7 linked regions of the Oryctolagus cuniculus genome follow. The protein of the gene in region 5 interacts with the protein of the main gene of each other region in a pairwise test. Links are inferred from orthologs where the notes say so. Each region holds a gene or a part of one and is shown on either strand. Other genes may lie near its edges. The genes, in order: GKAP1, MKRN2, CCDC136, FAM131C, NDN, SERTAD3 and P4HA3.

What was found.
Region 1: the proteins of NDN (region 5) and GKAP1 interact in a two-hybrid assay, tested with the Homo sapiens proteins (2 studies listed by BioGRID and IntAct). The link is inferred for Oryctolagus cuniculus from reciprocal best matches to the Homo sapiens genes NDN and GKAP1.
Region 2: the proteins of NDN (region 5) and MKRN2 interact in a two-hybrid assay, tested with the Homo sapiens proteins (2 studies listed by BioGRID and IntAct). The link is inferred for Oryctolagus cuniculus from reciprocal best matches to the Homo sapiens genes NDN and MKRN2.
Region 3: the proteins of NDN (region 5) and CCDC136 interact in a two-hybrid assay, tested with the Homo sapiens proteins (2 studies listed by BioGRID). The link is inferred for Oryctolagus cuniculus from reciprocal best matches to the Homo sapiens genes NDN and CCDC136.
Region 4: the proteins of NDN (region 5) and FAM131C interact in a two-hybrid assay, tested with the Homo sapiens proteins (2 studies listed by BioGRID and IntAct). The link is inferred for Oryctolagus cuniculus from reciprocal best matches to the Homo sapiens genes NDN and FAM131C.
Region 6: the proteins of NDN (region 5) and SERTAD3 interact in a two-hybrid assay, tested with the Homo sapiens proteins (2 studies listed by BioGRID and IntAct). The link is inferred for Oryctolagus cuniculus from reciprocal best matches to the Homo sapiens genes NDN and SERTAD3.
Region 7: the proteins of NDN (region 5) and P4HA3 interact in a two-hybrid assay, tested with the Homo sapiens proteins (2 studies listed by BioGRID). The link is inferred for Oryctolagus cuniculus from reciprocal best matches to the Homo sapiens genes NDN and P4HA3.

What each region holds. Positions count from the first base shown.
Region 1 is NC_091432.1:134,781,591-134,786,043, forward strand, and holds the start of GKAP1 (G kinase-anchoring protein 1), read right to left. Parts: upstream 3,011-4,453; 5' UTR 2,869-3,010; intron 2,604-2,868; exon of another isoform or gene 2,465-2,603; intron 2,381-2,464; exon of another isoform or gene 1,990-2,380; intron 1-1,989. UniProt on the Homo sapiens protein: Regulates insulin-dependent IRS1 tyrosine phosphorylation in adipocytes by modulating the availability of IRS1 to IR tyrosine kinase. Its association with IRS1 is required for insulin-induced translocation of SLC2A4 to the cell membrane.
Region 2 is NC_091441.1:114,690,174-114,694,116, reverse strand, and holds part of MKRN2 (E3 ubiquitin-protein ligase makorin-2), read left to right. Parts: intron 1-1,076; coding exon 1,077-1,381; intron 1,382-2,723; coding exon 2,724-2,938; intron 2,939-3,943. UniProt on the Homo sapiens protein: E3 ubiquitin ligase catalyzing the covalent attachment of ubiquitin moieties onto substrate proteins.
Region 3 is NC_091434.1:165,016,399-165,019,756, reverse strand, and holds the end of CCDC136 (coiled-coil domain-containing protein 136), read right to left. Parts: intron 878-3,358; coding exon 561-877; 3' UTR 537-560; downstream 1-536. UniProt on the Homo sapiens protein: May play a role in acrosome formation in spermatogenesis and in fertilization.
Region 4 is NC_091438.1:153,562,253-153,566,800, reverse strand, and holds the start of FAM131C (protein FAM131C), read right to left. Parts: upstream 2,845-4,548; 5' UTR 2,603-2,844; coding exon 2,581-2,602; intron 1,364-2,580; exon of another isoform or gene 915-1,363; intron 1-914.
Region 5 is NC_091443.1:13,452,448-13,456,300, reverse strand, and holds NDN (necdin), read left to right. Parts: upstream 1-1,322; 5' UTR 1,323-1,455; coding exon 1,456-2,433; 3' UTR 2,434-3,004; downstream 3,005-3,853. UniProt on the Homo sapiens protein: Growth suppressor that facilitates the entry of the cell into cell cycle arrest.
Region 6 is NC_091449.1:13,879,297-13,883,769, forward strand, and holds SERTAD3 (SERTA domain-containing protein 3), read left to right. Parts: upstream 1-1,331; 5' UTR 1,332-1,465; intron 1,466-2,380; exon of another isoform or gene 2,381-2,752; intron 2,753-2,996; exon of another isoform or gene 2,997-3,144; 5' UTR 3,145-3,153; coding exon 3,154-3,747; 3' UTR 3,748-4,353; downstream 4,354-4,473.
Region 7 is NC_091432.1:65,519,904-65,523,846, forward strand, and holds part of P4HA3 (prolyl 4-hydroxylase subunit alpha-3), read right to left. Parts: intron 3,401-3,943; coding exon 3,338-3,400; intron 2,736-3,337; coding exon 2,667-2,735; intron 1,063-2,666; coding exon 966-1,062; intron 204-965; coding exon 133-203; 3' UTR 1-132. UniProt on the Homo sapiens protein: Catalyzes the post-translational formation of 4-hydroxyproline in -Xaa-Pro-Gly- sequences in collagens and other proteins.

The sequences.
Region 1 (4,453 bases), on a different chromosome or scaffold from region 5:
CAGATTTAAAATGAATTACCTAAACAGTAAGCAGTGGCGCTTCTGAAATACTTGTACTCTTGGGTTTCCGGTATTATGATCTCATCTGTAAGTTGTGACCTCACTAGGTCAGGAAAGAAGACAGCCACCATATTTCAATCCAGCAGATCATAATTAGGGCACCTCAAAAACTCAGAGCAATCAAATATATCCCTTTTGATTTTTTTTTCTTTTCAGATTTATTTATTTATTTGAAAGGCAGACTGATAGAGGGAGAGACAGTTCTGCCATTCGTTGGCTAACTCTCTAAATGGCTGCAACAGCCAAGTCTGGACCAGGCCTAAGGTCTGCCAGGAAACCCATCCTGGTCTCCCAACCAGGTGGCCGAGGTCTGCTGTCTTTCTAGGTGCATTCGCAGGAAGCTGGACTGGAAGCAGAGCAGCCAGGACTCAGAACAGTCTCAAGTGGCAGCCTATCTGGCTGGACCACAACACTGGCTCCGTATCCCTGTCCCCTGCCTTTCTTTTTTTAAAGATTTATTTACTTTGAAGGTCAGAGTTACAGAGAGGGATCTTCCATCTGCTGGTTGATTCCCCAGAAGGCCACAAAGGCCAGTGCTGAGGCAGTCCAAAGGAGCAGGGCCAGCAAGAAGCCTGAAGCTACATCCAGGCCTCCCACTTGGTCGGCAGGGGCCCAAACCCTGGGGCTATTATCCACTGCTTTTCCCAGGCCTTTAGCAGGGAGCTGGATCAGAAGCAGAGCAGGACACAAACCAGCACCCATATGGGATGCCTGCCACAGCTTAAGCTGTTATACCAAAACGTGGGTTCCCCACTTCCCTTCTAATAAAAGGAATACCATCAACCAGAAAGCCTCACTCAAAAAGAAAAAAAAAAAAAAAAAGAATAAATATGATGTAGGCGCCAACTGGCGTGGCCTCACTGAAATGCAGTTTAGATTGGAGATAACATGAAACGGCACTGGACATCACTGATTTAAGACATTAAAACAATTCATTACTTCAGGTTCTGTTCCTAACACGACTGTATCATTCGATTTGACTTCTGAAAAACTAATGTCCACAGCAAACGGCCAAGTGCATACAGGAACTCTGCTCACAGCCCACCTGCTCACAGCCCACCTACTGCAAACAAACAACATAACGTGCCCAAACTCCATTTTCTCCTCACAATTAAGTACTGCATCCCCTAAATCCACAGCTCCCAATTTTCTGTGGGCTGAGAAATCAAAGCAAGGAGTAGGAGCAGGCACTGAGAGGGGACCCAGGGGCTTCTGTCACGGATAAGAAAGCCCTGGTCTTTTCACCCGTCCCCAGTGTTCGCTTGGTCAATTGTAGGCTCTTGATTTTCTCCAGAGGGCTGACGTCTCTCAGTAAAAGTTACCAAGACCACTTATGACAATTAATAGACGATTAATTAATTAATTAATGAGAATTTGACAGCCACCAACGGTTGAGGAAAAAAAAAATCCTATAGATCCTATTAAGTCCTATAGATCAAGGATTCTAATACTTCAACGCCCTATTTCTCATTTTCACAGCGACACACGTCAAGTGTTTTAAACTGATTATTTCAGTTAGACGCACGCAGAGACATCGCTGAAAGGTGTAGGAAAGAAAACATCACTCACTGGCTTTTCGGTATAAGAAAGATGATTTTTCATCAGCACTTCTTAAGACAGCGTTAGCATCTACTCAAGTGAAAAATCTGGCTAAGGCCGATACGTAAAAGGGGGAGAGCGAGCGTGGAGAGAAAAGGACAGAGAAACTACTTTTGTCATTACCCGTCAACATGCAGTAAACACGTAAATGCTAGAAATCTGACCCCCCCAAAAAAAAAAAAAACCTGAAAGACTGTGCCAAATAACAGCCCCCCCCCCAAAAAAAAGAAAAATCAAAGATTAAAAAAAAAAGTCTAAATTTTCGCCTCGCTCCGTTTCCAGAGCTGGCAGGGAGGAGGAGCTCGATATTCAAAAAGTAATTCACTATACCTCCTGCGTGAACCAAAGCCAAATCTCACCCGATGCTTCCAAACTTACTCGCAAAGTACGCCGAGGAGGAACCAGGGCCCCGGCGAGCCCCGAGGCGGGCTGCAGGCGCTGCGAAGGGTGGAAAACAGCGGGTCGGGGCGTCGCTCCAGAAATTTCCAGGCGCCGGGCGGCCCGGGGACGGGGACGGGGGCGGCGGCACCTGTCAGCCGGGCGGCCCCCGGCGGGGTGCAGGCCCGCGGCCTGCGGTGCGGCCCCTGCGCCCCCGAGCCCTGCGCCGAGCGGCCGCCCCGCGGCCCTGCCCGAGAGCCCGGCCCTCCCGCGCCCTCTTGCCCAGCGGCTCTGGCCAAGCGGGCGGCCTCAGGGGCCGCGTCCTCACCACGACCAGCCCGAGGGTGGGCGCTCGGGAGGGCGCGTTCGAACCGCCGCAACCGCCCTGAGGGGCGCGAGGCCGGCCGGCCGGCGTCCGCGGACTCACCGGGCCTCAGCGGCCGCCGCGTCTCCCGCAGCTCCTGAGGTGGCCGCCGCACTGGGCGTTGGGACTGGGCAGGGTCAAGTGTCGGCGGGGGCGGGGCGCGGGCGCGCGTCGGCCCGCCGGGCTGGACGCGGGGACGCGAACGGGTCCCGGGCCGGCCAGCGCGGCCGCAGCTGCGGGGAGGGGCGGGGAAGCGAGCGGGCGGGCGAGGGAGCGAGCGCGGGAGGGAAGCCCGGCGGAGGGCCGGCGTGAGAGCCGCGGGCGGGGGGCGGGGCCTGCGCGCCCGCCGCCGCCGCGCTGGGGTTTGTTTATTTGCTCGGTTGACGGGCGTCGCTGGCGCGGGGTCCGCAGGCGGGCGGGTGGACGCGCGCGCCCCGAGTTGAGGGAAGAGGGAGGACTAGAACCACCTGCTGGAGAAGGGGAGCTACGGGGGCCGGGCAGGGTCCAAACGTCTCACGTAGGCGGCGGCGCGGCGGTCCTCGGGGTCACGGGGAGGGAGAGAGAGAGAGAGGGAGAGGCGCCGTCCCGGAGCGGCGGGAGGAGGCGGGCGGCCTCGCGGGCCACGCCCCCGCAGCATCGCCGAGCGCGCGGTGAGCGGGCCCCGGGCCGGCGCGAGGGGCCGAGGGCGCGGGGCCGACCTGCGCTCGGTGAAGCGGGGCCGGCGCTGCGAGTGCCGGTGCCGGAGGCGAGCCCGCCCGGAGGGCTCTGTGCGGGCGGTGACGCACCGTGCCCGGGTCTCTGTGGCGTCACGCTCCGCATCCCGGAGCGACGGTGAGAGACCCAACGCCTGCCGGCCACGACGTGCCGGGGCTGGACCCCGGAGACCGGCCGGACGCCTGCCACCGCCTCCCGCGACCCTGAATCACTGTGACGTGATTGGACCCCTGCCCCCGTAGAATAACACACCTCGGCGCTACAGAGAGGCGTGGAGGGGTATGTTACCCTCACCCCCAAAAAGTAGGGACGAAAAGGGAGATGAAAGCGGGGCAGGTGCACGCTGAGGAGGACCAAGGGGCATCGGGCAGGAAGGCAGCGCGGAGGAGACGGCCTTGGGGTGGGCCCGCAGGAGTGGAGAGGCAGAACCCCCTGGCCTCCCGAAGTGAATCAGAGTTGTGTGTGCGGAACCGGCAGAGCCTCTGGGTGTGTTGAGAAGTGGCAGAGACAACAGGAGAGTGGGGGCCGCAGATAGCAAGTGCAGGGGTCTGTAGTCACTTCGTAGCTTGCCTTACCAACAGTCTGGGGAGAAGAAAAGGACGTCTCTTCCTTGGGGCTGCTGATGTCTCTGTGAAGGTATGCAGACACGTTGGCAGAGACCTGGACAGGAGGAATTGAGGAGTGTGGTTGAGATGCGGTGTAGAAACAGTAATCTGAAGAATCTAGCCACCGACTCATTGGTTGTGCGTGGGAAGAGAGAAATCAAAGATGGCAGAGATTTGAGTTTGTACATACTTAGAAAAGAAACGGTTGTAACAGAGAAGGTTCGCAGGTGGAATTTTGAAAGACGACGATCAGGTTAGATTCGGACATTTTAAGGGTTTGAAGGGTTGTCAAGACAGCCAGGTAGAAGCGGCGCTAAGAAATTAGGAGTAAAGGCTTGGAATACCGGGAAGAGGACTGAGCGAGGCACCGATCGGGGACTGCTCCTCTGTCTGGCAGCAGTCTCACCGTGAGGAAGAACAGGGTCTCGGGACGTATTGAGAGACTTGCTGCTCACGGTCTGGCGGATGGCCCGGCAGCGTGGTCATCACTGAGGCATCCGTGAGACACGTGGACCCTCATGCCCCACCCCAGAAGCCTGAGAGGTCTGTACCGCGTCCGAGTTTGAGGAGCTCTGATGTAGATGAGGGAAACCAGCCCAGAGAGGGGGAAAAGAAGCGGTGGAACCAGGATTATGCAGAATCACCAGCGCAAGGTGAATCGGGTTTCACAAAAGCAGGGTGGGAAGGCGTATTGGTTAACAGTCTCCCAAACCACAGAGGCAGACAAGCCCCA
Region 2 (3,943 bases), on a different chromosome or scaffold from region 5:
AACCATCACCCTGGGATGCCAGCATCACAGCGAGTGGCGTAACCCGCTGTCTGCGTTGCCGGCCCGTGTCACCTGTTTTGGAAAGCAGTTTTGGCCTTTTGTGCTTCTTCTTGGACTTCTCTCGTCAAGGGTTCCCCCAAGCTCACATCTCCCCAGGATGCCGATGCAGGCACTGGCACTGTTGGGAAATGGGCTCCGCCTGCTGCAGAGCCGTTGGAAAGCACCTCTGGCCTCGTGCCCACGTCTGGGTTGAGCTCTGCATTAGGAAGACCAGAAGAAGGGATTTTTGTCAGCACGGAGCTGCCGTCTTCAGAGTGTGGCTGTCCCGTTGGCAAGACAGCACTCAGTTCAGAGCTGAGCAGTTCCATAGAGCATGCTTCACTGTTTGACTTGAGGTCAGCGTGGGCAACCTCGGCACACAGAGCAGTGTCGGGATGTGGGGGGTGTCATGCCCTGGGACAGGGAGGGCAGAGGCTGCGGGTTCTGGAGAGTCTGCAGCGCCTCCAGTTGGCACTGTGAGGTAGGCAGGTTCCATCCTGAGCAGGGGCCATGGCAGTGGACGTGCTGGGAGGGCAGCCCCAGGGTGCAGGCTGTCTGGGGGGGAGGTGGCCGCGGCACTAGGCTTTTATTCAGCTTGAGTTTCAAATGAGAGGTAGTTTGGCTTAGAGAGAACCCCACTGTTTCTGTTGCCCTCAATGTAACTTGCCTTTGACTCGTGTCTGAGTTTTTTTGCTTTAGTATGACTAGTCCATGTATGACATTTTTAGACATGCCCATTGTAAGCAGCAGTTTTAGTGTTTGATGTGTAAATATATCATGTTCTGTTTTGGCGTTTCCATCTTGCCATGTGTGTGTGTGTTTTTTTTTTGTTTGTTTGTTTGTTTGTTTTTTGCTTCAGCACTCCTACTGAAAGAAGTGGCATTATGAACATTTTAAAGTGTTCTGTTCTTTATTTCTCTTTGGCCTGTTCCAAGGCTGGAACTCCTTTGAGTTGCATGATTGGTTGGTTTTGGCTGATGGCTTCCTGTAGAGATGGGGCGGGTTTCATTTGTGTGCACTGTGTGTGTTCTGTTCAGATCTCTCAGGCTTGGCCGAGGAAAAGGCTCCTCCCAGCGCAGTGAGTAACCCAGGCAGCTGCAGTGACCCCCAGACCAGCCTGGAGGTGAAGCCACATTCCTACCTGGACGCCATCAGGAGTGGCCTCGACGACCTGGAGGCCAGCAGCTCCTACAGCAGCGAGCAGCAGCTGTGCCCGTACGCAGCGGCCGGGGCGTGCCGGTTCGGGGCTGCCTGCGTCTACCTGCACGGGGACGTGTGTGAGATCTGCAGGCTGCCAGTCCTGCACCCCTTCGACCCCGAGCAAAGGAAGGCTCATGAGAAGGTACAGTCGCACAGCTCTGTGTGAATTTCCTGTAAGGTACAGTCACACCGCTCTGTGTGAATTTCCTGTAAGGTACAGTCGCACCGCTCTGTGTGAATTTCCTGTAAGGTACAGTCGCACCGCTCTGTGTGAATTTCCTGTAAGGTACAGTCGCACCGCTCTGTGTGAATTTCCTGTAAGGTACAGTCGCACCGCTCTGTGTGAATTTCCTGTAAGGTACAGTCGCACCGCTCTGTGTGAATTTCCTGTAAGGTACAGTCGCACCGCTCTGTGTGAATTTCCCGTAAGAAATGCAGAAGCTGCTATGCGACAGGCTCGTCGTACGCCCACATCTCTTGCCAATGGGACCTGCATTGTGTACCCAGCTTCATGGCGTCCTAGTTTCAGGTTCTCTTCCCACTTCTCAGTTTGCCAAGTTTGATTTGCTTACAATAAAGAGAAGAGGAGGCTTCAGAGGTGGGGAGCCTTGCACAGTGGAGCCCTCCCTGAAGCCACGCAGTGCTGCGCTGGGAGCCGGCCACGCTCTGTGTTGGAAGCGTTGAGGCACCACATGATAGGATCTGAGAGCGAAATGTAGGAAGGGACCTACAGGTCCCGCATGGCCTGCCCTCCCATGAGGCTTTGTGCTGGGCCAGGGCTCTGACGATGGCAAAGGCACGTAGGAGCCTCGCGGCTGCAGTGCTGGGGGCCAGGTTCCTTCAGGTTCGGGACGGACATGGTGGCCACCACGTTCAGGGCTCCCCTTGTGGGAAAGGGCGTGAGCAGTGCAGCCGAGGCGTCGAGGGCTGAGTGCTGCCTGCCTGTGGACTGGGAGAGGCAGATGTGTGTGAGGATGGGGCTGTCTCCACGTCTTCCCAGGGGACAGGGTGGTGAGCACAGAATTGGAGCTTTCCTCTCCACCTGGTCATCTCACATCTGTGCCCAGTGAGCTCCCCAGGCCAGCTCAGGGGAGGGACTCGGGGCACGCCTAGCGCGTGAACTCATGACGTCACGTCACTGGGGAGAGGTAGTGCCGCTTACCTGTGACTCTCAGGCTGAGGACTGCGGAGCATTTCTGATAGAGCTGAGGAAGGCAGTGGCCAGAGGAGCCAGGAGACCAGAGCTCTGGTCCCAGGAGCTCTGCCACCCCGCCGTGGTCCTTACAACCCGTCTGGACCTCTGGTCTCAGCTCCAAGCTGTGCCAGAAAGCAGGTGGCTGAGAAGACCTTGCTGTATCGGAGAGAGGCCTGCGTGCGGGGCCTGACCCTCCACTTCAGGACGTCCTCACGGGGGCAGCGGGGCAGTGGCCTCTCCTTGGGTGCGCTTCACTGCTGGGTGTCACCGTGTCCTCTCTGCACTGCAGATCTGCATGTCCACCTTCGAGCACGAGATGGAAAAGGCCTTTGCCTTCCAGGCGAGTCAGGACAAAGTGTGCAGCATCTGCATGGAGGTGATTCTTGAGAAGGCGTCCGCCTCCGAGAGGCGGTTTGGGATCCTCTCCAACTGCAACCACACGTACTGCCTGTCCTGCATCCGGCAGTGGAGGTGTGCCAAGCAGTTTGAAAACCCAATCATTAAGTAAGTACAGCCGGGGTGGTGGCCGTTGCCAGCAGGGCCCTGCCTCGCCCTCCCCTCCCCGCAGTGTCTGCGGGGCCCTGGCCCTCCAGCATGGAGAGGCGGTGGCGTCTTGACCTGCTGCACCACAACACTGGCCCTCTGGTTGTTTTTGTTATTCACACTTGAAAGGCAAAAAGGTGGGGGGGGGGGGTGAGGGAGGGGAGAAAGGAGAGTAGCTCCCCTCTGCTGCTTCACTCCCCAACTGTGTGTAGCAGCCTGGGGACCTGACCCAGATCTGTGCCTTGCAGTTAAGTAACACGGAGCAGCTGGATCCCGTTTGTTCCTGCACTCATCTGCTGGTGACCCTCTGGGCTGTCGCCGCTTATAGGCTGTACCTGCTTGTGGGCAAGTCTCTGTGGTCATGCTTTTTCTCCGGATGTGTACCTCAGCGGGAGACCGCGAGACCCCAGGGTCACTTCACAGTTCCCACCAGCAGTGACAGAGCATTCTGCTTTCTGTCCTCACCAACGTGTTTTATTCCCGATTTTAAGCAGCCTCATGGGTGTGAAGCATCTCCTGTGGTCTCAGTTTACATACACCTTGTAGTGAATCATGTGGAGCATTTTTTATGCCCTTCGTGGCCATTTTGGAGAAATGCCTACTTTGTTCATTTTAATGAATTTAGATCATTAATTTGAAAAGTTAAGTTACAGAGAAAACAAGAGAGATCTCTGATTTGATGGTTCCCTCCCCAAATGGCTGCAGTGGTCAGAGCTGGGTCAGGCCAAAGTCAGGAGCTTCTGGGTCTCCTGAGGGGCCAGGGTCCAAGGAGCTGGCATCCAGTGGGATGCAGGCATTGCAGGCATTGCAGGCGGCCCCTGAACCTGCTGCACCACAATGCCAGCCCCTTTACTTTTATTTTTCATGCCTGAGAAGAACCTGTGTTTAACAAGAAATAAGGTTCTTAAAGTCTGTAGTGGTCACACATTAGAGCAAGGAGTTTACTAGTGGAGTGTGCCCAAGAGT
Region 3 (3,358 bases), on a different chromosome or scaffold from region 5:
ATAGCAGAGAGCTGGATCAAAAGAGAAGCAGCTGGGACTCCAACTGGTGCCCATATGGGATGCTGGTGCCGCACGCGGAGGATTAAGCTACTGCGCCACAGGGCCGGCCCCGACAGTTCCTTCATTAAACTCTTTGGTTAGTTCTTGGAGTGTGCCACCCATTTACTGCCAGGATCCTGACCAACTAAGTAGAACAAACAAGGGAAAAGCCACGAGAGCTCCCACACAGGTCTCAGGGTGTCGTCACACAGATGGGGACACAGGAGCCAAGTCTTTTGGCCCCGCCTCCCAGCAGATACCCAGTCCGTTGCATTTCTTTCTGCTTAGATGAATTCCTTGAGATGGGCTGAATAAGCGGAGACAAATCCATCTGCCATTCAGCTGACGGCCCAGGGAGCTAGCCTTGTATCTGAGGCCAACTGTAGGGCGAGAGATCACACTGGGGAGCCAGACCCCTGTGTGAGCACTTGGTTAAGGAGGAACCATCCTGTCCTGGTTATGGTGCGAAGCACTCAGCAAATAAAAAGCCACAAGTCTCACGTGATTAGGTTGATATTTAATTACAAGGAACCCAGGTTCTTATACAAGGCAGGAGGTGGGAGCCAATAGTTCCCATAAGGCTTTGCAGCCTGAGTGACTGAGGCCAAGGAGAGAGGGACACATGGGACACATTGGTAGGGTGGGGGCTCTGGTACAGTGCATCCTGCCCAAAGGTGAGAGTGGCTGCTGCTGGGGGTCTGCCCTCTCCACTGGCCCAGGTCCGCCATCACTCCATGAGGCAGAGCTGTGTCTCTTGCGGTCGCATGTTGGGTAACACATACAGAGCCACAGCTGCAATAGCCAAGAACACCATGGGCTTCCACATCCCAAACATGTTCTGTGGGGACCAAAGAAAAGCCGTGAGTGCCCAGCCTTGAACCCGTCCCTCAGCCAGAGACCCCCTGCCTGCTGGTGCCCGGGACACACACCTCCGGGGCACCATGGGTCACCTCATACCTCCTGGGCAACCGTGGAGACCGTGTGGGCCCTGGGCCCTGACACCGCCAGGTCTGTGGCACAGCACATGCTGGCCGCATCCCCTTAGTCCGTGCCTGTATCCATGCCCCTGTCTCTCCCAGTGGGAGAACACTAACTTGTATGTGTGGGAGCAGCCCAGGGGCCAGACTGCAGATTCTCCAAGTGGTTGCAGTGAGAAAGGGGGTCAGCAGAGAGTCAACTGAGGCCTTTGGGAAAAGGGGTGGCACCTCGTTAGCCGTATAGAAGGGAAAGGAACTCAGACTGAGGGGGGAGGGGAGGTGCCCCAGGGAGTGCAGGAAAGTAGGAGTTCTTTGGCAGCCAAACCTGTTATGCAGAATGGAGTTGGTTCAAGGAAGTTAAAAGAAGCCTGATAGTGGCCCTGGGAGGCACATGTCAGGCTCACTAAGACAGCCCCGCCCACGGGTGACTTCCTGGCACGTGTGCTAGAGCCTGCGAGGGAACCCTGCTGGTCGGCGGGACAACAATGATGCCAGCAGAAGACACCCAGAGAGCATCCTCTAGTGCCTGGGAAATCGTCAACGAGAAAATCCATACTCGGGGAAACAGTTCCTGTTCTTAGCTCTTTAACTGTCTTCCTTGAAAGGCGGGCTTTGGATTTTTAGTCGTGAGCTATGGCGCGTACGTGACGCAAGGATGGTTTTAGGTAAGGGTGGAGTAGGGCCGTTCATGCTACCAGCAGCTTCTCAGAGGATAACGGATCTGAAAAGAGGATTTAAGTCCACTCTAGAGGGCAGAGACAACCTCCTCAATCTGAAGACATAGTTGTTGGGAGGAACAGAAGGCACGAGATGGACAGCAAAACCGCGCGGGCGTGGGTACTCAGAGTAACTCACGTAAGCATGAACTGAGAAGGCGGCTAGAAGGGCTACTGCCCGGATGTCGCGTCCTACTGTGCGCAGCTAACCGTGTCAGTGTGGTGTTCTCGCGGGAGGACGGGCAGAAACCCATCAGCCTGGAAGGGTGGACTTCACCCTGGCAGAGGCCGGAGTCCACACCGCGTGAGCAGAGGGAAGCTTCGGGGTCCCGAAGGAGCGCGTCCCACCAGCCTTGCCGACAGCCTGGGAATCGTGTCTGAGATTCCATCAAGCGGTGCGACAGGATGTTCCGTGATATCCTTGCAGATGATACGTGCAAGTAAGAGCAGGCTGATGGTGTAGCCTGCTGCATGACCACCTGCTAGTGATCAAAGGGCTGCGTAAAAGAGAAGCTGGGGCGACAACACACAGGAGACTGGCTCCCCACTCGCAGCCTGGATGAGGGCAGGAGGCATACTTGTCACCCTGGGGGACAATGTGAATACTCAGAATGGAGAATTCTGCCAAGGGACCCAAGACATCGCGTGCAGCAGAGGGTGCTGAACACACGCAGGGCGCGCAGGGGCTTCCTAAACAACACAGGAGGTTATCGAGAGCTCCGTTACCCGGCATTGCATAAACAGAAACGTGGCGTCTTTCCAGTTATGTGGGGGCCCACAGAGGGACAGCGTGCAGAGCGAGAGGAGGTGACACGGACAAACGGGGGCAGAATGCCATGTGCTGCTCATATTCCGTCCTGATGACCCGACTCACGATATCCTGGCTGTATTACGTAGCCTCCCCATGTCTTGCTGTGAGCGTCTATAAATGACAGTATTCACAGTCATAGCTTCCTCATAAGAAGGATGAATTAGTTTCTATAAATCAAGTGACTGCAAGTGGCCAGCTTGTCATATGCATTACGGAGGTGTGTGCTCCTTGCATTATGCATGTAGTATTTCATAGCCTACACAATACTTTCACACTCATTAATTCAGCTGATCTGATCCTCACAAAAATCCCCTGAGGAAGGCAGGGCTTAAGCATCTTTTGTTTACATTTGGAGAAGCTAACGTTGAGATGACGCATTTTGCTCACCAGGACAGAGCCTGGAGGAAGGAGAGAGAGACTCAGCTGAACACCGAGGTGTGGCCAGAGCTCTGGGATCCGCAGCTGCCCCCAGGAGGGCCCTCCTCTCATTGTGACCCGGCCTGGCGGAGGTGGAGCTGGGGAAAGGCACAGCTGAGTGCTCGGAGCCTCACCCTACAGGGACTGCTTAAGACGTGTGCGAGTGTACAGGCGAGCAGGAGGTACAGAGAGACCCCGTCACCAACAGGTGTAAAGAGAGACCAAGAGGAGAAACAGGAACATCCTTAAAAGAAAAAAAAAAAAAAAAAAAAAAAGGACAAGGGTTGACGAAGGGGCAGGTGTACGAAGGGGAGTGGAAACAGGAAAGAACAGAAAGTGGTAAAAAGTGCTACCAACAAATGCTTAGGGGGCTACACGTGGAGCCAACTAGACTTCCC
Region 4 (4,548 bases), on a different chromosome or scaffold from region 5:
GCAGGGGTCCCCAGCAGCGCTGGGGTCACACAGACCCCCATCTCTGAGCCCCACTTCTGCCCCACAGGGTTGAATGAGAGCTATCTGGGTCAGGAGAGCCAAGGCTCAGGCTGGCCCAGCAGAAGCGCCCAACAAATGGTGGCTTAAAAATAGACGACGAACACAAAACAGCTCCTGGAAACAGCGCGAGTCGCCTTCATCCGGCCCCAATCACCTCCCCGCTGTCCCCAGGGCCTCAAGTGCCTTTTCCCAGGAGGCAAGCTGGCGCCCAGGGCCTCTGCAGCTTCCCCTTGTCCAGCCAAGGTCTGGACTAGCCACCTGCATAGAGCGACACCAAGGGCACCAGCTAAGCCTCTGAGCGCTCGCAACGTGACAGGTTCCAGTCTGAGTGCTGCGCAAGTACTAAGCCATTTCATCCCCCCAGCACCCCCATGACGTCAGTACTGTTAGGATTCCCATTTTAGAGATGAGAACGCCAAGATACAGCTACAAGATCAAGGAACTAGTGAGTGGTTGTGGCAGGGATTCAAGCAAGCAGAAGCCCCCTGCTGGGATGGGGTGGCCTGGGGTGTGGCACGGCATCAGCCTCATGCAGAATGGGGCTCATGGCCCTGGCTTGGGCTTCAGACTGCGTGCCTGGCCCTGGGAAGCACTTGGTGCTGGCGAGGAGACCAGGTGGGGGTCTCAGGAACGCGCGGAAGCCTGCAGCTCCAGAGGAGGAGGACAGGGGCAGGGCGGTGAGGTATAGACACTAAGGACGTCTGCATGTCAGGGCTCAAATCCTAGCTTTGCTAAGTCCTAGCTGTGTGGCCCAGGGCACATCACTCAGCTGTCCCCTGCTTCGGATACAAACAGGGACTATGGTAGCAAATAACCCAAATCAGCTTTTTGCTCCACTACTTTCAGACCAGTACCTGGTAAGGTGGAAGCACTCAGAGAGAGGATGAGTGACAAGTAGAGGGGCAAGTGGCTTCCGCTCAGTGGCTCAGCCACCCAGAGTTCTGGGGACAACGGCAGTCCTCTGCCCTCAAAGCTCCTCTTGCATGCTGAACCTCAGGAGGTGGACAGAACTGCAGGTGCACGTGGGGAGCCCAGGCTTCCAAAGGATGGGTGGAGCCGGCACAGACCTGCCAGGGTGACCGCAAATGGCCCTGACAGAGGGTGCCATGGAGGGAGCACCAGGCAAGGGTTTCCCAGGGCCCAGACCCACAGCATGACCTTGGCGGGCGTCTTGCCCGCTCCCTCTCTGTCCTGTGCTCAGTGAGCCCTCAGCTCACAGGCCAGTCCATCTGGGGCTGGGGCCCTACGGCGCCTGGCACAAGATGGCCAAGGCATGCGGAAGGGACACAGTCTCTGAGGAATCACCAGACCCCAAACACCTAGAGCTGGCCCCACCCGGACCCCTAACACTGAAGCTGGCCCCACCCGGACCCCTAACACCTGGAGCTGGCCCCACCCAGAGACTGCCAGAGCCCTGGAGGTTTCCGGAGCCCCTCGGGCACCGACAGCTGTCCACAGGGACCCTTAACTCCTCTGAAGACTGCTTCCCCTTGCTGGGCAGTGGCTGTCACAGATCAGGTGCTACGCTGGGTCCACGGTGCCAGCACGCAGTAGGTGTCATTACTGTCAGCTGAATCAGGGGTCAGCGAATGAACCTCCCAGGGCCCAGCCTCCTCCTTCCCCTCCCCACCCTGATCCCTCCGGCCCACTCCCCTGAGTGCCCGAGAGCTACCCTCAGAGTCCAGAGGACGGGGAAAGGGTGTCATACTCCTTCCTCCACATCCCTCCCAGGGAACCTCCCGTACACCCGAGCAAGATCTGGGGAGTGATGGACGCGGTAGCCGGTCCCCAAGACCCTGTGGGTGGGCTCAGCGGGTGTGGACTCAATCTGCAGAGCCAGAGCCAAGGCCAAAGTGCCCGGCTCTCCCAGCCCTGCCCCCCCCCCCACTGTGTGGGGAGGGGACTCCCAGGGGAGGAGGGCCCCAAGCCAACACCTTTCCTGAGATGCACTCGGCAGCCTGCCGGGCAGCAGGTGCAACCCTGCACCCACCCCCCAGTCCCAGACAAGAGAGGCAGGCAAGGGCAGCTCGCTCCCCGCTCTGGTGACTGAGGGTGGAGGGTCCGGTGAGAAGCAGAGGAAGGCCCAGGGTTACTGGGAACATCAGGTGTCCTCTGTCCCTTCCTGTCCCCTGACCAAGGAGAGGGTGGGGACGAGGTGGGGGAGGGGCCTTCTTCATAACCTGTTCCCCACCAGAGCCCTTCCTGCCAAGTGGGTTCAGGGGCTGGAGTCGGGTTGGGGGTGGGGGTGAAGCCTGTGCCTTGGGGGTCTGGGGCGGAGGACGCCCCCGCGGCCCCTCCAGAGAAGCCAGGAAGACTCAGGGGCTCCCTCCCTCCCAGGCACACGGCAGGGGCTGCGTGGCTGCTGGGGCGGCCACAACGCGGTGCCCTCGCACGGGCTCTCCGCGCTGCCCCGTGTGCTCAGGGCACCGTGGCCCTGGGGGTGCGGCTGCTCCGGGAAGCACGGGTCGCCGCCCCCAGCCCTTGGTTCCCTCCCAGCGCCCCGGCCCGCGGCCCCCTCACCTCGCGACACGCAGGAGCCCATCACGGGGCCGCGGGGCCGGGCCGCTGCGCCTCGGGTGCGTCGGGCCGCGGGGCGCTCATGTCTCCGCGGGCTGGGGCTGCATGCGCGGCTGGCGCGAGGCAGGCGAGCAGGCGCGCGGGGACCGGGGCTCAGGTCCGCTCGGCCGGGCCTCCGCTGTCGCCGGGTAGCCCCGCAGCCGCCGCCGCCACCAGCGCCACCGCCGCCGCCTTCCGCGCCGCGCCCGCAGCTGCCAGGGCGCGGAGCGGGGGGCGCGGCCCGAGGGCGCCCCGCCCCCGCCCCGCCCCCCGCGCACCTGTTGCCTGGCTTGGCTGGCGGCGGGGAGGGGTCCAGCGGTCCTCAGCGCCTCCCACCGCCTGGTGGCTGGGCTGAAGGTCAGGGAAGGGGCAAGTGGGGGCAGGGAGATTTCTGGCATTTGGGTCACAATGTAAACAACCTCCCCTGAACCGAAACGACAGCCTGACAAGCCGCAGGGTGGGGTGGGGAGTGACACAATAACTCCCATTATGTCCACTTTTTAAAAAATACATTTTGTTTTTATTTGAAAGTCAGAGTGACATCCAGAGAGAGGAAGACACACACACACACACACACACACACGAGAGAGAGAGAGAGAGAGAGAGAGAGAGAGAGAGAGAGAGAGAGAGATTTTCCATCTTCTGGTTCACTCCCCAAATGGCTACAATGGACAAATCTAGGAGCCAGGAGCTTCATCCAGTCTCCCACCTGGATGCAGGGGCTGAAGCTCTTGGGCCACCTCCTGCTGCTTTCCCAGGCACATTAGCAGGGAGCTGGATCAGAAGTGGAGCAGCTGGGACTCGAACCGCCGCCCATATGGGATGCCAGTGTTGCAGAAGGCAATTTCACCTGCTATGCCCAGCGTCAGCCCCCATTATGTCCATTATGCAGAGGAAGACATTGAGGCTCACAGAAGTCAGATATCCATTTATTTATTTATTTGTTTGAATGATAGAGTTACAGAGAGAGGGATGGAGAGACACAGAGAGAGGTCTTCCATCCTCTGGTTCACTCCCTAGATGTCCACAATGGCCATAGGTGCACTGATCTGGAGCCAGGAGCCAGGAGCCAGGAGCTTCTTTCTGGTTTCCCACATGGGTGCAGGGGCCCAAGCACTTGGGCCATCTTCCACTGCTTTCCCAGGCCATAGCAGAGAGCTGGATCGAAAGAGAAGCAGCCAGGACTCGAACCAGCACCCACATAGGATGCCGGCACTGCAGTCGGAAGCTTAGCCAACTATGCCAAAGCATTGGCCCCAGATAACCTTTTTTAAAGATTTGCTTATTTGTTTGACAGAGAGAACAGATTGAACCATCAGCTGGTTCAATCCCCAAATGTCTGCAGCAACTGGGCCTGGGTCAGACAGAAACCAGGAGCCTGGAAATCCATCTGGGTCTCCCAAGCAGATGGCAGGGACCCACGTTCTTGAGCCGCCATCTGCTGCCTTCCCAGGCACATTAGCAGGAAGCTGGATCAAAAATGGGGCAACTGGGACTTGAACTGGCGCTGACACGGGAGGCTGGGTCACGAGCAGTGGCAGCACCACAGCTGGGGCCCAGGAGTCAGGTGCTTTGCGCAGGGGTCCTCCCCTGGGAGGGTCCGAGACCGTGGAGTGTCAGCTCCTTTGTGCTGGTGGCCCCGCTGCTGGACAAGGCTCTCAGGCAGTGGGGGGAGGGGCGAAGCTGCCTCTTAGGGTTTATCCAGCAGGGTCCTTCTGGGACCCTTGGGTGGCCGCTCTAAGGGAGCAGCGGTGGCCCACACCAACCACTCACACCGCTCCACGTGCACACACACTCACATACACACATTCAGTCCCACACGGAGTCACAGTCACACTCACACACATACACACACTCTCAGGCTCATGTCCTTCCATGTGAACACACACAACCCCACGTGTACATGCCCCGACCCTCCCACACACTCATAGG
Region 5 (3,853 bases):
ACAGGGAAAAGGACATTATCAAACAAGTTGTGCTAATAATTACAGCAATCTTTATCCTATAGAAACCTGATGAAAAGTTAAAATGGAATCAAAGTGACCCAAGGGAAGATGAAAATCAAAATCCATAATCAAAAGACTAATGAATCAACATAAGTAGCTATTTATAGATGAATGAATGAAGGAAATGTGGTATATACACACAATGGAACACTATTCAGCCAGAGAAAAAGAATGCCATCAGTCAGTTGAGGTAACACCAATGAGCCTGGAGGACAATATGTTAATCGATATGCACCAGGCACAGACAGACAAATACTACATGTCCTCACTCACATGTAGAAAGCTAAATAAGTTGGTCTCATGGAAGGTGAGATTAGAAAACTGGTTATCAAAGACTGGGAAGAAGAAGAGAAAGGGAGACACAGAAAAGTCAATTACATGCTACATAAATACAATTAAATGCAACAAAAAAATTTCCAGTGTTCTGTATCACATTAGGTGATTATAATTAACAATACTTTAATTATATATTACAAAATAGCTATATGGAAGGATTTTGACTGTCCCGTAACACAAAGAAATGAAAATGTGGGAAGTGGTGGATATGCTAATTACCCTGATTTGATCAATACACATCATATATATTTATGGAAATAGCACCCTGTTCCCCCAAAATATGTGCAATTATTATGTCAATTAAAAATGTAAAAATACACAAAAAATGTCAAAGTTGTTTTAAACCCATTATCTCCAGCATCATTCACATTTTGCACGGACTGATAGGGAATTTACCAATTCTGCATTCCTCCTTATTTTATACTCTTCCTCCTCCTACTCTCGGAATTTTGTAGGGAGAGACTTCATCAACTCTTACTGGTATTTCCCAGGATTCCAGTCTCAGATCTTCCCAAAGTTCGCATATTTTCTTAGAGAATCCCAACTATTCACATTCTCTTGAGGAATCCCAGCTGCTCCTCTCACTTGGTCGCAGGAAACCGGGAGCTCTCTCTGGGACGCTCCTGTCACACTTAGTCCTGGACAAACCCAGGTGGACCCTTGTAAGAAACTCTACCTCACCACGTGGGAAACTGAAGTTACCATCTTCCCCTTTAAACTTGCCCCTTCCTCAGCGACCACCCAGCCCCTCCTGCCCTCCCCAAGGCCGCCTCGTCCACGCAGGAAACCCGGGGTCATTCCCATCAGGCCAGCAGCGGCTCCACCTCAGACCCTCGCCGTCGGGCGCACAGCCCCTCCCCTCCCGCCCAGTCCGAATCGCGCGGCCCGCGGACGCGCAGGCGCAGTGTCCCGTCGTCCCGCCGCCGCCCCGCCCTGCCCGCCGCTGCGGAAGGCGCCGCGCGCAGCTACGCGCACTTCCTCTCAGGGAGACCGCGGAGGGAACGCAGGCTCGAAGAGCTCCGGGACGCTGAGGCCCTGCTCCTGTCAGACGGCGCAGACATGTCGGAACAAAGTAAGGACCTGAGCGACCCCGACTTGACAGCCGAGACCCCCAGCCGCGAAGTGCACAGCAGCCCAGGGGTTCCGGCGGGGGGCCCTGCGCCCGTCTCCCCTGCAGCGACCCTCGCAGGGCCACAGAGCCCTCCTCCAGGCCCGACGGCGCTCTCACAGCCCGAGCCGCCGCCCCAGGCCCCGAGCGATGAGGATGACCCGAAGGCCCTGCTGCAGGCAGCTGAGGAGGGCCGCGCCCACCAGGCCCCGAGCGCGGCCCAGCTGGGCCCCGCGCCGCCCGCCCCGGCCCAGCTGGTGCAGAAGGCACATGAGCTCATGTGGTACGTGCTGGTCAAGGACCAGAAGAAGATGATCATCTGGTTTCCAGACATGGTGAAAGATGTCATTGGCAGCTACAAGAAATGGTGCAGAAGCATCCTCAGGCGCACCAGCCTCATCCTCGCCCGAGTCTTTGGGCTGCACCTGAGGCTGACCAGCCTGCACACGATGGAGTTTGCGCTGGTCAAGGCTCTCGACCCCGAGGAGCTGGACAGGGTGGCACTGAGCAACCGGATGCCCATGACAGGCCTTCTGCTCATGATCCTGAGCCTCATCTACGTGAAGGGCCGAGGCGCCAGAGAGAGCGCCGTCTGGAACGTGCTGCGCATCTTGGGGCTGCGGCCCTGGAAGAAGCATTCCACCTTCGGGGACGTGAGAAAGCTCATCACCGAGGAGTTCGTCCAGCAGAATTACCTGAAGTACCAGCGCGTACCCTATGTTGAACCTCCGGAGTATGAGTTCTTTTGGGGCTCCCGAGCCACGCAAGAGATTACCAAGATGCAGATCATGGAGTTCCTGGCCAGGGTTTTTAAGAAAGATCCCCAGGCCTGGCCTTCCAGATACAGAGAAGCTCTGGAGGAGGCCAGAGCTCTGCGGGAGGCCAGTCCCAGTGTCCACTGCCCCCGAAGCAGTGTGTCTGAGGACTAGTGAGGTCTGGAGGCAGATTGATGGTTTCCAACCCCCACCAGGGCTGTGGAAGGGTGGGGGGCAGGTCTTAGAGTATTCAGGATTTACAGTGCAGTATTTCACGTGTAACCTTTCAGTTATCAGTACAGTGCTTTTATACCTTTTAATGCAATGTTGTATTCATTTGGGTACTATCAAGTAGTGTCTAGCATTTATGCATGTTTGTTTATAAGTAAGCTCTGTTGGTGCTTCGCTTTTGTGCTACCTTTCTTGGATTTTTTGTACCAGAGATGTGCTAAACTTATGAAATACATTGAGAAGTTTTCCATCTTATTCTTTTATATGGGACGATTGATGTGTACTGTATGATTGATGCACCTGGTGAGTGTGGAGAACTCACCAGCAAAGCTGGCCTAACCAAGAGAAAAGCCTAAGGCCCCTCTTTATGACCTTGATGGGCATGAGCAACATCTGGAGTGAACTGTTTTGAACTGAGATGGTCTCAATGTGGGCACTTGGCACACTTTACTAAACACATATACAACCTACCATGAGTAAACTTTAAACATTAAAGATTCTTGTGATACAATCATTTTTGGAGAACTGTACTCTATCATTTTAATAAACGGTATCATAGGGAATGAGAAGGGATTCCCCATTGTACAAAATATGCAAATACTTCATGATTAATCCTAAATGTGTATTTATATTGTATTATAAATACAACTCATATTTGTTTCAAAAGGTTTGAGAAATACAGAATGTGTAATGTCCCCAAAACAAGTAAAATTTTCCACAATCATAACACAAGGAAATAGCAATTGATCATATTTAAGATAATTTCTTGCCTTCATTTTCTATACTTTATCAAAGTTAATAGCTGCCTTTAGTGGTCTCTTAAAGAGGGAGGAATAGTGTTTTGTTAACTTTTGCCTTTTATTTAGTGCCCTCACTAAATAGTCGCTTATTACATCCACACAATGGAGGAAATCAGGAACAAAGTAGGGATGAACTTTGTGTAACTCACATAGCTGAGTAAAAGAGGGTGCTAGGATTTGAACCTATGCTATGAATCTGGAGCCCACATTCGTGCCCCTCAACCTACAACTCTACCTGTACCTCCTGGTTTTAGTTTGTTTATTCATTTTTTAAAAACTTAACTTTCACTCTTAGCTCCTAATCCCAACACTCAGGGGCTCAAGTGCCCCAACCACCCAGCCCCACAGACTAGTTAGGGATTTTGTTTTTCTGATTCATATCTTTTAGGCAAAGCGATATTACTCTGATTATAAAAACTAAGAAGCTTTGCTTCACAGAGATTGGTTGACCTAACAAAGTCCTATCCTTTCTTAGCACTGAAGCCAAAGTTTGAAACATGAACTTTCCTGAGGGTTGGAGATGAAAGAGCCCTCTCTGACAGGAGGTGTCAGGGGACCACACC
Region 6 (4,473 bases), on a different chromosome or scaffold from region 5:
CTGAGCAACCCAGCGTCCACACCAAGCAGTGGGTGACCACGATACCCGTGCTGCCTGTTGTTAGGGGACCCACAGCACACACAGTGACAGCCCAGGACCACAGTGGGGGAGACACAGGCAGAGGAGCCGGGGAGGGCTCCCCAGAGGGGACCTTTGAGCTGAGTTCCTCCAGTGAGAGGCACCTGGGAACCGAGGGCACATTTTCAGCGTGAGGAAACAAGTTTAAAGAGCCCGAGGCCTGGGCCAGTGCTGTGGCGTGGCAAGTTAAACCACCGCCTGCAGTGCCCCATCCCATATGGGTGCCAGTTCAAGTCCTGGCTGCTCCGCCTCTGATCAGCTCCCTGCTAATGCGCCTGGGAAAGCAGCAGGGGACAGCCCAGCACTTGGGCCCCTGCCACCCACACAGGACACCCAAGTGGAGTTCAAAGCTCCTGGCTTCGGCCTGCCCCAGCCCTCACCGTTGTGACCAGCTGGGCAGTGAACCAGCAGATGGAAGGTCTGTTTTACTCTCCGCAACTCTGCCTTTCAAATAAATAAATCTTTAAAAGGAAAAAAAGCCGGAGACCTTTCACTCTCCATGTTGAGGGCTTGCTGTGCACCTGGCGCTGTTGTAGGCCCCTGGGGTGCAGCAGGGAAGGAAGACAAAATTCCTGCGAACGCGGAAACGAAGCCCGAGTGAAACCATTTCACAGAAACTAGCAGCGAACCCGGGCGAAGGACAGACCGGGAACGCTTCGGGGCTGACGAGTTTAGATTCTGCCTCTGGGGCAGCGGGGAGCCGCGAGCAGCCCCTGAGAGAGGGAGAGACCACGAGAGGACGTGCCGCTGAGTCCTGGGGACCGGGAGGCCCCCGGCTGTGCGGGAGGGGCGGGACCGCGGTCACCCAGGCAACGCAGGCCGCGCCTAACTATTGGCTGGCCTTTAGCTGCGTCATCCCCCAGCGCCCAGCCGCGCCCGGGCTCGGAGCCTCGGGGGCGTGGCCTCCGCGAGTGACTCGGCCCCGCCCGCCCGGAAAGCGGAGCCGACAGCGGCGTAGCAGCCGGTCTTGCCGGGTGACCGGTCCGAGCTGGACAGGAAGGGACGGCAGAGAGCAGCGCTAACGGCCCGGGAGCGAGGGCCGGGGCTGAGCTGCAGGGAGCGGTTTCGGTGCGCCCGCCCCCCCCTCCCTCCACACGTGGCCCCGCCCCGTCCGAGTCGGAATCCTTTAAATGGTCCTGGGCGCTCCCGAGGGGCGGGCGGCGGGGGCAGCTCGGGAGTCCCGCGGCGGCTCCGCCCAGCCAATCGGCGTGCCGCGGCGGGCAGGCTCCAGCCAATCGCAGCTCGCGGCTCGGCTCCGGGGCCGGGCTGGGCGGGCCCGAGGCCAGACGGAGAGGCCCCGGGGCAGCGAGCGCGACTCCTACCCGGCGCTGGTGGGGCGCGGCGCGGCGGGCGGAACGGAGCTGGTCGCTGCGAACTGGTAGCCGAGGTGAGCGGCGGCCGCCCGGCTCAGAACCACACCCGGGGCTGGGGGCGGTGGAGGCGGGGCCTGGGCAGTAGAGGAGGGCGCTGATGGAGGGCGACTGGTAGGGGCTGGGGGACCCTGGACGGGAGGCGAGATGCTTTAGGCAGGATTTTCAAGGGGCGAGAGTTTGAGCTGCGACTCGAGATGTTTGGAGAAGCGAGAGAACCAAGGCGAGGAACTTTTGGGGCAGGGAATCCGAGGACTAGGACAGTGTTGGACTCCCGGGTGGGTTGAATTCGGGGCTCTGTGGCTTCCTGGGAGAAGATGTGAGAGGTCTTCCAGGGCTGGGACACCGAGCAGTCGGAGAAGCAAGGGGACCGGCTAGAGCCGGGGGTTCTCGGAGACCCCGAGACGCAGAGGCGGGCAGAGGGCGCTGAGGAGAGAGCTCGGTCTTCGGGGCTTGAAGCGGGACGCGGAGTTTGGAAAGTGAGAGGACGGAGTTGGGGGTGTGCCTCAAAATTAGGGCGCGCCGTCTCCCGTACCGGCCGGGTCGGAGAGCGCTCGTCGTCTCTGACCTGGGTCCCTGCACCCCGGGATAGTGGGGGGGAGAACTGGGATCCGCGGAACCCGCAGAGTGGGTGGGGGAGGGGCGCTCCGGGCGTGGAGGCACCGGAGGGGCGGGGCGCGGCAGGCGCCCGGCAGCTGGACGTCCGGGTTCCCATCCCCCACCCGGCCGGGCCCCTCTGCGCATGCCCTAAGGGAGGGCGGGGCCGTCCTCCGGTCGGCGAGCTGAGCCCTCTGGGGACTGTAGTGCCGCTACCTGGCGGCTGTTGGCCCGGGCTTCCCAGAAGCCCCCGGGCCAGAAAGGGGCGTTCCTGCGCGGCGATCTGAAGCCGTGGGAGGGGCGGGGCCTGTGGCGGCGCCACGGTCTGGTTGGCTGGGGCCCCCGGGGGCGGGGCTTGGCTAAGTTTCGTGGCGGCGAGTTTTCCTCGGGGCGCGCAGTGGGGGAAGGCCCGAGCGCGGGGAGCGGGGATGATTCGTTCCCCTCTCGTGAGCGCGTCCGTTCGTTAGGGAAGAGGGCATGGACAGAAATGCCCTGCCTGCGAGAGAAGAGTCAGGGCTCGGAGGGGCCCTAACGGAGCTCCAGGCAGCTCTGTGGGACACGCACTCAGCGGAGTAAGTGGCGCCTGAGCGCTTTGTGTGTGCTGGGCCTGGGCACGTGGGAGCTCCCAGACGAGGCGGTGAGAAGCAGTTTTACAGACGAGGAGACTGAGGCCAGCGTCACGCAGCTGAGCAGTGTCCAGGGCACAGGTCAGCCCGGGATTCCCCACTTGGATTCCCCACTTGCAGTCCAGGTCTCTGCGCCTGTCTGTGGGTGACTTGCCTGAAGAAGTGAGAGTTGTGGAAGAACGGTTTCTAGGGTTCGGAAGGACTTCAGTTAGGACCTTGTTCCACAGAGGGGGATGCAGGGTCACTGAGGGCAACAGGCGGGGGCGGGGGGGGGGATCCGAGCCCAGCTTTGCTGGCATCCTGATCACTTTCCTCCCCTCCTTAGCCTGTGGAGTTCAGGTTCTCTCGCTTCTACAGATGAGTAAACAGGTTCCGGTCATTAAAACATTCACCATCAGCTGCGTGAGCCTGCCAGAGAACGCGGGGTTGGAACCGGCCCTGGTGCGTCTGACCTGACCCTCTTCCCTCCCCAGGGCACCGTCATGGTGGGGGGCCTGAAGAGGAAACACTCCGATCTGGAGGAGGAGGAGGAGGAGCAGTGGGCCTGGAATCCAGCGGGCCTTCGGAGCTACCAGCAGGCCCTGCTCCGCATCTCTCTGGACAAAGTGCAGCGCAGCCTGGGCCCGCGCGCCCCCAGCCTCCGCAGGCATGTCCTCATCCACAACACCCTCCAGCAGCTGCAGGCCGCCATCCGCCGGGCCCCCGCGCCCACCCTGCCCCCCGAGCCCCTCTTCTTGGGCGAGGAGGATTTCTCCCTGTCGGCCACCATTGGCTCCATCCTCAGGGAGCTGGAGACCTCGATGGACGAGACCGAAGCCCCGCAGGGCCCCCCGGCTCCCCCGGGCCTGCAGAATCCAGTGCTGCCCCAGCCGGATCCGGTCTTCCTAGAGGCTCTGAGCTCCAGGTACCTGGGGGACGCGAGCCTGGACGACTTCTTTCTGGACATCGACACCTCTGCGGTGGAGAAGGAGCCAGCACTGGCCCCGCCGGAGCCCCCTCACAACCTCTTCTGTGCACCAGGCTCTTGGGAGTGGAATGAACTGGATCACATCATGGAGATCATTCTGGGGTCCTAAGACACTGACTGGGGGGCCTTCCTCTGGGCGGGCTGGATCCCCGGGTACCACTCTGTGTGTTTTGCTGGGGGCTCAAAGCAGGGACTGTGGCCCCCTCGCCTCCCATGTCAGGGTTCCACAAACAGTCTTGCATGTGTGTGTGTCTGGTTAGCGCAGCCTTCTGTGAAGGTGCGTCTTCCTGAGTTAATTTATCTCTTCCAAATGCCTTAACCAGGACTGCCTCTGGGAGTCCGATTTCCCACTTACACATTTCTTCTGCCTCTCCCTCCACTTCCTGCTCCTCTTGTGACCCCTGGCGCCCTCAGGGCAGATGAAGCTGGGCCCATCAGAGGGGGCAGGGATGTGCTGCCAGGTTGCCATGGAAACCCAGTCTCTGCCTCTGGCACCTCGAGGTAGGGGGAGGAGCTGGTCTTCTCCCCCTGGGCTGAACCCCTCTTCCTTGGCAGGACCCCAGTCCCGGCAGCCTCTGATTCATAACCAGGCCGGACCACGTGCAATAGAGTGGAAACCAAACTTCTCCATGCCGCATTATTTAAAAGAAAGGCAGGGTTTGTGGTGGCTTTTTTTATTGTAATTTTTTAAAAATAAAAGTATTTTGGAAGGAAAGGGATTGTTTTCTTTCTGAATGTTACTGGGACAGCGAAAGGGACCTGTACATGCCCTAGACATCTGCATCCGACCCGTACCAGAGCTGGGACAGCAATGTCACTGGAGGAGAGGGTCTTC
Region 7 (3,943 bases), on a different chromosome or scaffold from region 5:
GGGCCCCTGGTGAAGACCCACTCCTTGCTCCCCGCGTCCCGGATGCTGCTCTGCCTTCTCTCCTACCCTAGCTTCGGCTCCCAGCCTCTCTGGAGAGCAACAGGGCACCACCGGCTGCTCTGGGCCAACATTTCAGTCTTCAGGGCTGGAGCTGCAGGGCCTGCGGAATTCCTGTCCGTACTCGTGTATCCACTTGTTGGCCACTAGGAGGGAGCAGGACCAACAAAAGAGCAAGCTCACTAGTGAACAAACAGAGGCCATGCCTAGGAGCGCGGGCAGGCGCCTCCTCAAATTCTGCACTCTAGTCCCCACCCCGCGATGAACTCACAAGGAGCTGTTTCCCTGGGGTAAATAGCCAGGAGGGCATTGTCCTCTGGGAAAAGCCCAAGAGGTCCTGACTACTGCAAAGCCCAAAGTGGACTCTCGTTCCATTCTAAAAGGCCACCTCCGCTCTGCAGCTGCTTCTAGGTAATCAGAGAAGGGCTGGCTTGGCAGTGTCTATCTCAGCACCAGAGCCCTCCTCCACCTCACTCAGTCCTCAGAGCTACGATGCGCCAGCAACACATCTGTCCACTGCTTGCTTAGCGTTTACTTGTTAGCCACCTCCTGGGGGAGATGCGAGATGGCTGGAGGCAGTGGCTGGGTGGTTGTCTCTTGGGGTAGAGGATGCAGAGGGGTTCAGCCCCACCACCCCGGTCCTCCTGGGCTGTACTCAGGAATTAGGGCAGGACCCCCTCCTGATACCTGTCTGTGATGGGCCCCCACTCCCAGCCATCTCCCAGTCTGCTGGGGCACCTGATTGGTCACCTGATCATCTCATTTACTGTGGCACTGTGCTGAAGCTTCTGGAAGCGAGGGTGGGGTGGAGTGGGGATGGGGGGCCAGCTATGCTATCTCCCACCCAGCCCCTATCTCACTCCACTCTGCAACCCTCAGCTGGTTGTTCCCAGAAAGGCAGGGCTTACCCCACTTATCTCCCACCAGGACAGGACAGCCAGCATGAAGTGTGTCCCCGTCGCCTTCGCCACTCCTGTGCAGGTTCCACCAAAACAGCGCTGCATTCTGAAAACAAGAGGGAGGCTCAGCCCAGGCCCCTGGCCCTCCGGACATGCAGGGGAAGGGCCGGTGCTTAGGGTCATTAAAGACACCGCTGCCCTGTGCAGCCCGGGGACAAGGCATGCACACAGAGCAGCATGTGTGGACACTGGCTCACTCACACGTGGCTGGCTGGTGGAGGGCCTGCCCTGCTCCTGGCCTTGGGGACACAAACAAATCAGGACAGTAGAGAGAGACATGAAACAGACCAGGACAGAGTAGCGAGTGCTAAGAGCAAAGCATGGGAGTCATGGGATCTGTGAGGGATGACACCCGACAAACCTACCAGGGGAACAAACTTCCCCCTAGAACATCAGCCACGGAGTCGGATGCCTGTCTTCCCACGCTCCCCTGGGACACAGGCACTACTGAAATCCCATCTCCCTGCAAAGAAGTGGAGGCTAAGAAGGAGCAGTTAGGCCCCAAGCCCAGGTGTTCTGACTCCACATCCTGTGTGCTCTCCTCACACACACACATGCTCGGGCTTTGTGTCCTATACCCTTCCTGCAGACTGACTTCAGCCTTAGCCATCAGAAGTAGACAACGGCCCAGGTAGTGAAGGAAGCAACGGCAGCCTCCGTGTTTCCAACCCCCCTAGCAAACTGCAGATCCCCAGCGTCTATTTCTCCAAGTGCTTAGGATGAGCTGGCACGGTGCCGAGTGCCTTATAGGCGTGACCTCGTCCTCACTGCATTCCCGAACTAGTTCAGGGCTGCGGGGAGTCCCATCTGAAATCTGGAGGAAATAGCCGTTTGCTAAACAGGCCACCCAGCACATGACCCTCCTGTATGCCCAGCTTCCGTCTTCCATAGCTCAAACCGCAGCATCTTGTTCCCTACGACCACTTTTCTGCGCGCGCTAGAGGGAGTGCTGGGGCTTTCCTCTGGGTGCTCGATGTCTCTAGCTCTCAGTGTTGGATGAGCAAATGACTGAAGGAACTGGTCACTAGTGGAGCCTAAGGTGACTCACACCGAGTTCTTTTTGATTTTAAAAGATCTTGTTTTTTTGAAAGGTTGAATGATAGAGAGGGGGAGACAGAGAAAGAATGAGAGAGAGAGAGAGAGAGAGAGAGAGAGAGATATCTTCCAACTATTGGTTCACTCCTTAATTGGCCTCAACAGCTCATCTGGGTTAGGCCAGGAGCCAGGGACTTTATCTGGGTCTTCCACATGCGTGGCAGTGGAAGGGCAGTCCTTGGGCCCTCCTCTGCTGCTTTCCCAGGCACATCAGCAGAGAGCTGGATTGGAAGCAGAGCAGCTGGGGTTAGAACTGGGGCTCCGATGAGTGATGCCGGCCTCACAGCCTGCAGCTTCGCCCACCACACAGCAGCTCCAGCCCCAGGTGGGTTTCTTAACTTGGGGGAGCTCTGCAGTGGCAGGGCAGTTGGACGTGCCATCGTCTACTTGTAATGCAAGTGCAACCAAAATAACACAGAGGAGCGGGGAACAATCTGTGGTCGCAGGAAAAGCCATGGGCAGGGGGAAACCTCTTCCCATCCCCTCCCAGAGCCAGCTCAGGGGCTGGCCAGCAGGGCAGGGAGGGTCAGCTGGGCGCTTGCATGAGCTCCTCACCTTCACCACTGGCACACTGAAGTTGGCGTAGATGAAGGCCGTGGCTCCTCCGGCTTCCACTGAGCTCAGCTGCAGCCCGAGGGGAAGAAGGCAGAGTTAAGAGGGCCGCCACCTTCTCTGCTGTGTCCCGTGTTCATCGTGATGTTCCTGCACCGCTTCCTTCCCAGGACCGCGATTTCTACTCGGGGAGAAATACTTGGAAGCCCTTCGGGGAGGCTGCTCGGTGGCAGTGGTGTTGGCCTGCAGGGCCATGAGAGGGGCATGGTTTGGGACTCCTCCTTCCCTCTCCCTTCCACACTCTCACCTGCAGGCCTGTGCTTTTCAAAACCATCTAGTATGTGGGACCTCAGGGAGGCCTGTGTGGTTCAAATCCCACCACCTCTTGGCCGTCAGTGTCACCCCACCTGCCACCCTAACCCACGACCTACAACCAGGTCCTAGTTAGAGCCACCCAGTGTAGGCTAGAGGAGGGTGGGGGCCATCTGGTCTTTCTTTCTAGCTCCTATAATAGCTAATAAAAATGCTGTTTGACACAACATTCTGGGAGACTTTTCTCTTGAGTACTGGATAAAATCAATAGGTGAAATCTTTTTGGAAACCAGTTTTTAAAAATAGAGATCCATGAATAATCATTCAGAAAGAAGCCCTGGCCCCTCCAGAGCAAGACTCACATAGATCATGAACGTTGCCACTCGGTTCCCGGACTTCATTCTGTACAGGGGGCTGCTCGGTGACTGAGATGAAAACACAACATGCCATTGTTTTACATGGATGACATCAGAATGATACAGGAAGGGGTACAATGGGGGCATCCAGAGGGGTTGTAGTCCCGAGCTACACCTGTTGGAGTAGGTACCACCTGTGCTGACAGGTACTCCATACACTTTTTCACTATTTCTTAGGTATACATAAAAATTAACTGTAGACTAACCAAAACAGAGCTACTTGTCAGTGGCAAAAGTACCTATATGAGCAGTTAATTGCATCCTTGGATTCTCTAAAATAAGGAAATTAATATAGAAAATATTACAGATTATAAGACTGGTATTCTCAAAGATTTGCTAAAGAGACATAGTCCTTTTGTTGTTGTAGACAGTTGGAGATATAATTTACATACCATAAAATTCACCCACTCTAAGAGTACTGTTCAATGAATTGCAGTACATTTTAACGGTTGTCCAACTGCTCACATCCAATCTCCGAGCACTTCTATCCCCTGAAAAGCTTGCAGTCAGTTTCTGCTCCCACCTCAACCCTGGACAACAGTTACCGACTTT